2 linked regions of the Caenorhabditis elegans genome follow. The protein of the gene in region 1 interacts with the protein of each later gene in a pairwise test. Each region holds a gene or a part of one and is shown in the gene's direction. Other genes may lie near its edges.

Region 1 (6,280 bases):
AAAATTTTCGATAAAAATGACGTATGGTTGCTGTGCTCGCTAAAATTGCTTTAACATGAGATTCTCTAAAAATTTTTTTATTGATTTGTTAATTTTTTCTATTAGAAGCGAAATTTTGCATTGTGTTCGACACTTATAAAACTTAATTTTTTGTAAACTGGTTAAACTGATGTACCTTTTGCCATTGAAGTGAAAATAAGTATTACTAACTCTCAAATGTATGATTATCAAATTCTTACCAATGTTTGCCAGTCTCTTCATATCATACAAATTAGTTGTGTATTTGTACTACCAAGAAGTTTGTTACCGTATCGAATCCCATATGTCAAAATTTTGCGAAAAAGTTTCAAGTTCAACTGACTTATTTCCATTTTCCGTCATCCTGAATCCTCCCACGCCATCGCCTAGTTTTCAGCTCAAATTGACATCATCTCTGCCCTTTACGTAAACGATTCGAGAGTGAGACAGTATGCCAAACGAAGAAAAGTGAGACATCGAATGCTGATAAAAGCAACCAAGAAAGTGACCATTTTGGGAAAAAGCGCGTTGTGCTGCATTGAAAGCGTGTTTAACTAAACCGATAACAAGTGATAACAGAAACGAAGACTCTTGTATGAAGCAAAACGAGCCATTTTGAGTTGCTTTTTGTATATATTTTTATGAAATTTGTTGATAGCCAGTCTCATTCCAATGTGATGAGTCTCCTGCAAAATAACCCGGAATTCGATGATTGTGATTTACAATTTAATTATCTACGATGTCTAAGTTTCGAAAGATTTTTTTACAGTTCAGTTCCTTTCCTATTTTTAGTTGATACCTCCCAGAGATCGTCCACATCACCTGTGTTTCTTTTCTTATCCCTATCCGTTTTCATGATTCACTCGACTGTTTTTGGGTGCGGTCGCGCGTGATTCTTGCACTTTCTCTTTAAATGAACAGTGCCACCTGCGTTGTCGGACATTTTGTTTGTTTTTTATCTTGATTTTCGAAATATTTAATGTCATATAACCTAAAACCTAGGTTTCTAAATTGTCTGATCACAAAACCTGGTTTCTTAGGCTCCACTAGTTTAACGCGATTTTTTTTTGAAATCTGTAATTCGATTCAAAAAAATCCTATTTTCTTTAATTTTTAATTTTGTATTTTGTTATAACTTTAAAAACGAGCTGAGCCATGTAGATGTCAAAGGTTGTAGAGAAATACTTTTTTTTAAGGAGTTGTATATTTTTAAAACTCCTTTTCCGGAAACACCGCGATATAAAATTAACGCTAGGTTAGAATATTGCTAATCACACATTTTTGGAATTTTTATTCCGGGAAAACTGTGCTCTGCTGGACAGTGGCAATAAATGTCTTATCATTGACAATAATAGGCGTTGCCCTTCGGAGATTATAAAAATCAAGAAGAGAGCAATGATGCACACTTCCGAACATTCACTTTTTATCAGCTTTGAATTGTAATCTGATTTGGTAGTTACGCACGAGTATGCAATTTGTTTCATTATTTGCAGCAATTAGGAAATTCCAAAAAATCATGTTCTTCAAGAATGGGTTACTGTAGAAATATATGTACCTCTGTGTAAAAATTGACCTATGATCATCAGAAAGCACTCATTGTTGTTGCATCTTTTTTTTTGTTGTAATAGCATAATCAGTAGTTAAAGCGGCACCTAATTCTCTGAGAATTCTTTGAGAAATTCATTTAGAAAAATGCAAAAAAAGTTGGTGTCATTCTTCGAATACTCTCATGCCAATGGATTCTTGTTTTTTGTATGTGTCCAAAAATTCAGCAATACTTCTTTTGAGTGGACGTGTCGAAGAGACGAAGCAACAAAAAGGAGAAGAAGTCGTAATTGATTATATGATATGATTGAACATGACTTTTTCTCCTCTCTCCCCCTCCTAAATCATACCATCACTTTTTTGTGTCGTTTTTAATTCAGAGAATATGGTGGTGGTCTCGCTCGCTTCGTTTCCATTTTGAACCGATTCTGCCACTAATTCATTGGCATCGGAGGGCACCACTAGTTGTCGGCATCGGCGGAAAGCGAAATCTTTTGAGGTAATCACTTGACTGATTCGAAGTGATTTTGCCACTTTTTACAAGATGATAATGGTCAAAAATCGTTTTAATTCTAAAAACGGAAGTATTGAAAAGATATGGTGTTAGGAACAATATTATCGGATATATTCATACCTTGAAGCTAGTGCCTCTATCTTCGCTTTTCACACTTAGATTTCCTAAACATTTTGTTATATTTCATGGTACATGTTAACTTAAACTAATAAAGATGATATGGTTACATTTTTTGTGGTTGCTACTTGCTGGTCAGTCTCGGAATTTTTTAAGTTTGACCCAAAAAATTAAATTCAAACTATTATGTTTTGTGAGCTCAATATTCCACAATTGAATTACTGTTCGTCAACCCTTCTGCCTTTGTTGATTTCATATCAGCATTTGCCTCAGAAAATAATTTTGCAAAACTCTGTGACCACCAAAAAGTTACAAGACATAATTGAAAACCCTCATCATTTTGTTCAATAGGTCTTTCTCAATTGGTTGTGATAAAACATCACCAGTTGCAAGATTTATTGTTTTGATCGACACCGGGGTGAAGTAATACTGTACATTTGCAGCTAATCTAGGCACTTTTACTGAACTTTTTTGTCTGTGGGTAGAAATCTGTGTGCATAAAACAAAAAAGGTTTTTCTTGTAGCTTTCAATCATACCAAATTTCTACTGCCTTAAGAGCATGCATAGATCCCCTCGAGGGGTCCTGTTTAAAACTATTCCAAATTGATCTTTTTAACTTGATACAATTAAGAACCTCCTCACTTTTTTCCAACTTGATAAAAATAATATCAAATTAAAAAGTACCCAAAAACAGACGATCATAAACCATTTTCTCTCATCGTTCTCCTCCACTTCCCTCAACGACTGCCCCCAGAAATAAATGGGCGGAGTTTGATCAGCGATTGGGTTGCAGTCGGTCGGAGTGTTGGCTGCAGTCGTCCCACGCCTCCAAATGTCTTTTGAAGACACTTGGACCTTCTGGATCATGATTTTTACCTGTGAAAGTGCACTCTGCTGATGCTGCTAACCTATATTTCCTTTAAGCCTCTCGTTTTCTCCTCTCTTGCATTTTCTCTTGCACTGTTCAATCATTTCTTTTCAATAGAGTAAACACACACAAACACAGTTTTTCTTGCTTTTCTTTTCTTTCTCCTACACTATTTTCACTTTGCTCATTGAAATATGAACAGCCAAATTGCTCAATTTTTTGCAGCTGACACACTGGTTTGATTTCATTATACAGTATCAATCTGGAGTCGATCCATTCGAAGAAATGCTGAAAATGGAACAAAGTGCACCTCCAAGATATGAAGAAGTGAGTGTTTTTTCTGCAAAAAAAATTTAATTAGTAAAATGAAGTTCTGATCGACTCCTAATTGATTTCCTTGATTTCGTCACATTGCTTCATCTCAATTTTTCTTTGGTTTAGAAACTCGAAAATAGTTTTTCATTCAGCATGGTCTCCCATATTTTTTTTTGAATTCTGTATTCTCATTCTCTTTATCCGAAAATATTATAGTACAATTTTTTCGAATGCTGGTTTGAAAATTTTCGAAATGCTGGTTTGAAAATTGCGAAAAGGGAAAACCTTATAAAAAAATTTAAAGCATTTTACCAATGCATTTTTTTTCGAAATTTTTAAAATATCCTTTTCTTCACAATCTGTTTATATGAGAGGACACTAAAAATTCGTGAGTGCTGTGTTTCTGAACATAATCTCTTTTTCCAATTATCGGATAAATATTTACCTAATTATTGTAATTATCATCATTTTCATTTCCGTTTCTGACGTACAATTATTTATTACGAAAATATAGTTACACATACAAACATACAAAAATATTGTTTTCTTTTTTTTAGCCCATAGGTATACCCTTACACGCATATAAATTACGTACAATAGATGGGGCTCTGACTCATTCGACTAGGTCCTATTCAGAACACTTTTTCTTTTCTTTTTTTCCTCCGTCCGTCCGTCCGAAGACTTTTTCTCCTCATCATCATCATCATCGAAATATCACTTTGTGTATGTTGCGTGTTGTCTGCTTCCATTTTTGTTGGGGTTTCCACCCTGTCAAAAAGAAGGCTAATCAATGGTGATAATCATTGGAAGACAGTGCGCAATATCCAGAGAGTAACAGACATTTCGATGGTCTTGTCGAGAGAGGATGGATACCGAAAGAGAGTGAAGACGGTGTATTAATTAATGGCACTGGTTTTTTTAGAAGAATAAATGGAAAAATTAAGAGACATAGACAGACAAGAACATAATAAATAGACGCAGAATGAAAAAGGAACCTTTCAAAAGTGATTTTAACATTTTTGAGATTCCTCTCCCGCAATTTGAATTTTTTCTCTCCCCCTTTCGTCCAAAGCAAAAATGACATCGCCAAACATTTTTCAGGACTGGGCTGATGTCTACGAATTCATTGAAAGGGACTCGAGCAGAAAAAATGTTCCGGCAATTGAAGGTAAATTTGTCGATAATTTCTTTTGAAATTTGAAGAATTTTTAGCGATTGAACGACGCCTCGCATTCTCTCCTCTCATAACACCAAATCCAGGAGCAAAGCAATTTGCACCTATTCATGTACCTGGCCGAGAGCCTCCAAGGATGCTTCTTCCACCAACACCCCATTTCCAAGCTCCATTCTCCCCGCATCCACCTCCAGTTCAACAAGTTCCGAGCTACAGCCCACCTCATGCACCTCCAAGTTATGAAACGTATCCAGAGGTCTACTATCCTCCACACATCATTTGTAACCCTTATGATGTACCAACGACCTCAGATAGAAATCCACCATATTATACGGAAGTGACAACTGTTTCTGCAGTGACACTTCATTCGATGACTCCACCAACTCATAAAATCGAAACACCACCATCAAGTCCAGAAAATTCGTTTGGTCCACTTGCATCACAGTTACCTGCCATCAAAATGGAGATTCCCATGCATCCGTAAGTTTCTTAAAAATAGAATTTTGGTTCAAAAGCGTTAGTCCAAATAAATAACACTCGATCGCAATGCACACACTGAAAAATTATTGAATTATATTCCATTTTCTGATCAATCCCTAATCTTTAGCTATTACAATCATAAACTTCTTTAGAATCCATTTCGTTCAAAGATTCATGCAAAAAAATTCATTCTCTCAATTAATTTATTTTTCTATCAGTTCTGTTTATGTTATAATTTCTGCCATAACGTCATATCTTGTCTACCGTATTCTTGTTTTTTCCTTCTTCCATTAGGAAAACTATTGTGATAAGTGTTTCATAAGTTGCCCACCGGACGAGATATCCGTTTTGATAAAATGCGCGAAACAATACAAAAAACCGGGAAACAAAAAGGCTAAGGGATATGCGTGCGTCAAACATTCCAAATCGATTAGCTGTTTACAACCAAATAAATCAAAAGCAATTTCGGAATTATTCGGTCTTTTTGCTTTCACTTCAATCTTGGCGGCAATATGAAAAGATGAATAGTTGAAGGAAGGCTTTGCCAAAAGTTCTAAAAACAGTTACCTTGTCATGCAAATTAGTGCATTTGGATGCGTGCGCGGGCGTCACAGGCTCACAGTAGGTGGTCTAGTACCACTTTCTTTTGCGGCAAATTACCGCACCGACCGTCTAGTTCTAACAAAAAGCAACAAGGAAATTCAATTGAAATCAGATATTTTGGACAAGTGTTTAGTTTAGTCAAACGTAAAGGGATTGATATATCCTGCCACGTCATTTCTTGAGTAAATTGTTAAATTGCTCAACTTTCTCAAAAATGTTCCGAATAAATTGGAAATCCAGTTATTTTACCAAGATTAGTCACCCCTAAACACTCTATTTCTGCCACCCCCGCGGCGCCTGCTAACAGTTTCCATGTTTGTTGACATAATACTTCTTTTCGATCGGAAAATGACTGCGGTGGCGCTGCTTTCGACACGGTCAACGATCAGCTTAGCGGGGGCCGCTTGTTTCGCGCGTTCCACAAAAGAATACAATCACAGATAATCAATCAAGTTATCTTTTTGGTGGGAAGTCAATGATGATGAGAGAAAACAACGTTTATTGTTGAATAAAAAATACTTAGAAGTTCTAACAAATTATATACTTCAAGGGATTTCATGATTTTTTATATTGTAAAAAGTTGTATATTGTAAAAAAAGAGAAAATACGGTACCCTTCTGATAACTTTTTCTAAATTTTAAGAAC
Region 2 (6,280 bases), on another chromosome or scaffold:
GACTGTTAGTAATGACAAGCCCAACAATATCAGCCATATCGGTCAACTTCCAGATTATTTAAAACTCAGAACTATGATGACGAAAAAAAAAAATTTTTTTTCGAATTTTTTCATTTCTTTGTGAAATCAAATACTTTGTATGCGTAGAGGTATAAGACAGTTAGTTAAACAAAACTGAAAAATTTCAGACTCAGGCATAGCTTATTGGTAGCGCTACATCTGTTTAAAGTGCCTAAAACGCTTGCAAAATTGACTTTTTTATGTTTAAGCAGTGCTAACTTTTAAACCATGAGAGATATACAAAAGTAATGTATTACAACATTAATGTACACATCATCAGCTACATTTTATCAGTATGTTACATTGTTGTCCCTCCTCACGTTTCTGAGTTACAGTTGATAGAAGTGAGCTTGGTCCAATTTTCAAAAAACCCTAATTTTCACGTTTTCGCCTGTAACTCCGAAATCAGGCGTCTAATTAAAAACTTCAAATTAAAAATTAAGTGATTTTAAATTATAATCGGGTTCACAGTTGACCGTTTTGTCATATCTCATATGTGGGCAAAGATATGAATTGTCAAAGAAAAGTTGCGGAAATTTTAGAAAATTTTCAAAAAAAAACATCGAAAAAAAATCCAACAGTTTTTTTTACAAGATAACCTCTAACTGTTTTTTGATTATGATAGCCTAATTAGTAATCAAAATATTAAATGTGTTTTTAAACGCTCATGTTCTTTTCGGAAAGAGTAAAACAGTTTTTTGCAATATTTTTCTATATTTTTTCGATCATGCATTTTTTGTTTGTTGACCGTTCATATCTTTGCCCACATATGATATGACAAAACGGTCAACTGTGTACCTGATTATAATTTAAAATCACTTTATTTTTAATTTGAAGTTTTTTAATCAGGCACCTGATTTCGGAGTTACAGGCGAAAACGTGAAAAATTAGGGTTTTTTGAAAATTGGACCAAGCTCATTTCTATCGACTGTAACTCAGAAACGTGAGGAGGGACAACAATGTAACATACTGATAAAATGTAGCTGATGATGTGTACATTAATGCTGTGATACATTACTTTTGTATATCTCTCATGGTTTAAAAGTTAGCACCGCTCAAACATGAAAAAGTCAATTTTGCAAGCGTTTTCGACACTTCCAACAGATGTAGCGCTACCAATAAGCTATGCCTGGTTCTGAAATGTTTTAGTTTTGTTTAACTAACTGTCTTATACCTCTACGCATACAAAGTTTTTGATTTCACAAAGAAATGAAAAAATTCGAAAAAAAATTTTTTTTTCGTCATCATAGTTCTGAGTTTTAAATAATCTGGAAGTTGACCGATATGGCTGATATTGTTGGGCTTGTTATTACTAACAGTCTTCTATACAACCGCAAAATATTATCCAAGAAAAAACCAAAACTAGAAAAAAACGAAAAAACTTATTGAACGACCTAATAATCAAATTTGGGCAAAATCTCTTAAGTTGGAGTAGTGACCGCACCGAACATTAACCTATTGCGTTAAATCGATTTATCAGTTATTTGAAATTGTTTTAAATAAAAAATATTTTTAAATCGTGTCCATTCAGATTATTTGCAGTTGCCTATATCAGCATAGTGACACAGTCAGAAATTTTTTGTGTTAACACAATGTAGCGAGAATGGTTGTAAGGCAAATATAATCATGATTTGTACTATGGAATACAACAATTCTACAGAAAAATTGTACTTATAAAAATTATGTTTCACAATATTTATATTGCGTCACTGATATTTTAGTTATTATTTCAGAACTTTTTCATGAGAAAGATCTTAAAATTTCAATGATATGATTCAAAACAATTAATTTAAAACATTAAATTCAAAAAAAGTAAAACTATTCAAAACTTTTTTTGAAAATGTTGTTTATTTTATTTCAAAAATGGCAACCATTCTGTTAGGCACTTATTTGGAAATCGTTGAAAAAAAAATGTTTTCCTCCGAATTTTATGTTTCAAACGGTAATATTCAATTATTTTAGGGATAGTTTTCTTTAAAAGTGGCAAAAACTTAATAATTGGCGCTTTTCGGAAAAAAAAAATTTTCTAAAATTTTTATTGTTTCAACATGCTTTTATTATACTCTTTGTAAATTGGGTTTTATTCATACGCTCAAATTGTATTTTGGTAATTAAAAAAATTGAAACGTAACCAGGAAATTAATATCTGCCAGAAGTAGTCAAATGTAAGCAAAACCTCTTAAGTTGGAATAGTGACTATGGTGGTTTTTACAGAAAACTGTCTTGTTATAGGAAAAAAATCTAATAGTAACACAATGGTTTAAAAGAAAGCATCTACATTTTTTTAAAGGTAAAACTTTTTGAAAAAAAATTGGATTTTTAAAAATTCACTGTAAAAAGTGACTATTACTCAAATTTTGCCACTCATAATTTTATAAGTCGATCAAAAAAAAACTTCCTACAATTTTTTTTGCCAAAACTTTGACTGGAAGTTGTAAAAAATTTGAGTTTTTTGGAGTGTTTTTTTAAATGATATCCCCACTGGCGCTACTCCTCCATCAATGACTTTAAAAATTGATAAGAAATCGAAAAATCTGAATTTCGAAATTTACCGTTTCACCGCGTGCGTATAAAACTTTTCATCACATTTTGATCTATTTCTGATAGTGATCCGCTTTCAAACGTGTAAAACAATTTAAAATTAAACCAGAAGCTTCCGATAAAAGTATAATCAATAATAGGCTCCACCTATTTTTGGATTTTCATTGTATTTAAAGTTTTCAAATCGAATCCAGGAACAAAATCTTCAAAATTTGCAACAAAAAAAAAATTCAGTTTCAGCCTTCAAACAAATTTTAGTAACGGCTGTTTGACAATTTTTCGATCTTTGGGTTTCAAATTTTTACGAGTTCCCTTTTACCCCCGCTTAGTATGCTTTACCTATTCTTACTGTTGGCACACCCACCCACAAGAAAAAGTGTTAACAATCAGTAATAAAATGATGCCATAACTATGACAAATATAAACATTTTTGGCAAATCGAAACAAACATAAGCTATTGTGGGGCAAAGGTTAAGGAAACGGTATAAAAAAGGATTGAGGTAAGGTTTAAACTTCACTTTTAACTTTTGTGATTTGAACCTTCAAAATGCTTAAAATTCTACTGCTCCTCTGCTTTTTCATCTCCACAGCCGGAGCCTGTGCTCCGGGTACCGGAACGCTGGGCTCCAAGGGAACATTCAGCTATGAAATGAACCCTCCTGCTCTATACACCTATGATTCTCTAGCAGAATTTGAAAACGGACAGTTTGATCAAGCCTATGCTCAGCGAGTTGTGGTGTCGGATGTGCAGAGTGCGGTGAGTTAAATGCAATTTTAAATAAAAATCCCAATACAGAAAAAATTTCTACTGTTTCACAAAATTTTTATGAACAGCTACAGTTTTCTTTGGAGTTCGTATAATTGCATTTATTAAAAGTCCAATTATTAAATGTCCAACTATGGTGGTGGATAATTTTGCCAAATTTATAAAAGAATGTGAAATGGCAACACATCGCATAATGTTTAACGGTTGCATTATTATTTGAAAAAAATTTGAAATTCTCAGAAGCTTTATAAATTCTAGTCTAGTTTTGATGAAAAGCCATATATTTTCTTAATTTCCATCAAGCCAGCCTATTCAATAAAAAGCGATTCATAAAAAGTTTAATGAAATACTTTTGAAACATTAAAAATTTTATTGAAATTTTCTTTTTTTTTTCGAAAAGTGCCAATTACTACGTTTTTGCCACTTTTAAAGAAAAGTATAGCATATTCCAATCTCTACAATAATTGAAAAAAAACCCATAAGTGGGCCATAAAATTCGGAGGCAATTTTTTTTTTGACGAAAACAATAATAATAACTTTTTAGGCACCGTAGAGTTGAAACACTCCCTAGTAAGATAACAGTGAGCTAATAAGAATATTATAAAACATACTTTTTTACAAATAAAATTTTTACGTTTTATTGAAAATTTATTTTGTAGAAACATGTTATATTCTATAGTACAAATGCATGATTATATTACAATCTTTCTATTTTCATTGTGTTAACACAAAAAATTCTCACTGTTTCACTATACTGATATAGCCAATTGCAAATAATCGAAATAATTCTGTTCTCTCCTAGAAACTGATAAATCACTCAAAAGCGACATACTAGGTGCGCGGTCAATGAGTTAAAAAATTTATTTAAAAGCCTGTAGATTTAATTCGGAATATTTTCCAAAAAGTATTCGCTGCGAGCAGGATTTGAACCTACGCGGGCAATGCCCATTGGATTTCAAGTCCAACTCCTTAACCGCTCGGACATCGCAGCCCGGTTTCGGAGAGCTGGTTGGGGTGTTTTCGTTACCGCAAATGGCTGTGTTGTTCGCACATTTTGAGCGGAGAAATGACTGAAAAAAGTATGCTGAAAGAGAAGAGCCTAGAGATGTGTCTACCTACCACTAAATCTATTTTGTTATCACTTTTGAATTATTTTTTTTAGAGATAACAATCTGAAACATTAATTTTTGAAATAAACCACAAAGTATCAGGTTGTCCCATAAGTTTTTGTACTTTTTTTCAAATATTTTTCCAAAACTTCTAGAAAGTTTTAAAATTTTTTCATCGTAGGTCGTGTCAAGGTCGGGTCGTCCCCTTCCAGAAAAGATTCATTTCATCCATTTCTACTTTGCCACGATGACAATCATCAAACTTGAACGTCGAGACGTTAGATTGCTTCTTCTTTATGAATTTCGTCTTGGTCATTCAGCAATGAAAGCGGAACGAAACATATGCGGTGCGATGGGTGAGGGAGCACTCTCTTATAATACAGCAAAGAGTTGGTTTCAAAAGTTCAAGAACGGCGACTTCAGTCTCGAAGAAATAGAACGTTCTGGGCGACCGGTAGAGTTAAATGAAGAAGACCTAGTGAAGCTGGTGGAGGAAGAGCCTCGTCTTAGTCTTCGTGAAATGGAAGAGAAGCTTGAGTGTTGTCATAGCACAATTGCACGTCACTTGGGTCGCCTTGGTTTTACTTCAAAACTTGGAATTTGGGTGCCTCATGAACTTTCGGCATCACAGAAGCTCACTCGGGTCAACGTTTGTACTCAACTTCTAACTTTTCGTCGAAAGTTCGATTGGCTGAACAATCTGGTTACTGGAGATGAGAAGTGGGTGCTCTATGTTAACCATTCCAGAAAACGTCAATGGCTTCCGATCGGTGAGAAAGGAATACCGACGCCAAAGCCTGATCTTCACCCAAAAAAGATAATGATCTGTGTCTGGTGGGGTGTTCAAGGACCCGTGCACTGGGAATTGTTGCCAACTAATAAAACTATCACTGCTGATTACTATTGTGCCCAATTGGACCGAGTTGCAGAAAAGACCAACGGAAAATATGAAAAACTATATTTTCTTCACGATAATGCTATGCCTCATGTCGCCAAGAAGACTTTCCAAAAGCTGCAAGATCTTGGTTGGACTGTTTTACCGCATCCACCATATTCTCCAGATCTTGCACCAACCGACTACCATTTGTTCTTGTCTCTCAGTGACTACATGCGCGACAAGCAATTCGACGACGAAGAGCATCTCAAAACTGAACTCTCCACTTTCTTCTCATCGCGTTCGCCGGATTTCTTCTCCCGTGGCATCATGATGTTACCTAGTAAATGGCAACAAGTGGTGGACACTAATGGTGAATACTTGTGTGAATAGTACTACTTGTCGCTTGAGAGAAATAAATTTTTTTCAAAAAAAAAAATAGTACAAAAACTTATGGGACAACCTGATATTTATACCCATTATCAATAAAAAAAAACTGTTTCAAATATTTCATTTTTCAGGTTGTATAAAATTAATTCGTTTGTCGATCTTTTGAATTCTTTTTTAAAGATAAATAAGTCTGAAACATTAAGTTTCAAAATAAGCCACAAAGTATTTATACCCATTATCAAAAAAAAACTGTTTCAAATATTTCATTTACCAGATTATATTTCGGAGAGCTTGCTAAAATTTGTCCATACGAACCAAAAAAAATTATCTGCTCAAAACTTGTATAATAATGGAACCAAGTAGAGCGCTAAAACACTAAAAACACTATACAATACCAAAAAAGTTTAAAAATTCAAAAAATTCAGATCAACGACGTATTGCAAGCCAACAGTATCCCCCTAAACGACATAAACCCACCAGTCATCACATTCTCGCCTCCAAACGTCACACTTACTACAGTAACCGAGTGCACCGCCGACA

Evidence for each region.
Region 2: the proteins of klf-3 (region 1) and Y51H4A.8 interact in a two-hybrid assay, tested with the Caenorhabditis elegans proteins (one large-scale study listed by BioGRID).

What each region holds. Positions count from the first base shown.
Region 1 is NC_003280.10:6,614,930-6,621,209, forward strand, and holds the start of klf-3 (Kruppel-like factor 3), read left to right. Parts: upstream 1-3,288; 5' UTR 3,289-3,348; coding exon 3,349-3,390; intron 3,391-4,455; coding exon of another isoform or gene 4,456-4,479; coding exon 4,480-4,546; intron 4,547-4,590; coding exon 4,591-5,032; intron 5,033-5,581; exon of another isoform or gene 5,582-5,716; intron 5,717-6,280.
Region 2 is NC_003282.8:16,575,384-16,581,663, reverse strand, and holds the start of Y51H4A.8 (DUF4136 domain-containing protein), read left to right. Parts: upstream 1-3,114; 5' UTR 3,115-3,148; coding exon 3,149-3,358; intron 3,359-3,454; exon of another isoform or gene 3,455-3,475; intron 3,476-3,661; exon of another isoform or gene 3,662-3,683; intron 3,684-3,906; exon of another isoform or gene 3,907-3,930; intron 3,931-4,153; exon of another isoform or gene 4,154-4,175; intron 4,176-4,276; exon of another isoform or gene 4,277-4,358; intron 4,359-5,891; exon of another isoform or gene 5,892-5,912; intron 5,913-6,035; exon of another isoform or gene 6,036-6,056; intron 6,057-6,165; coding exon 6,166-6,280.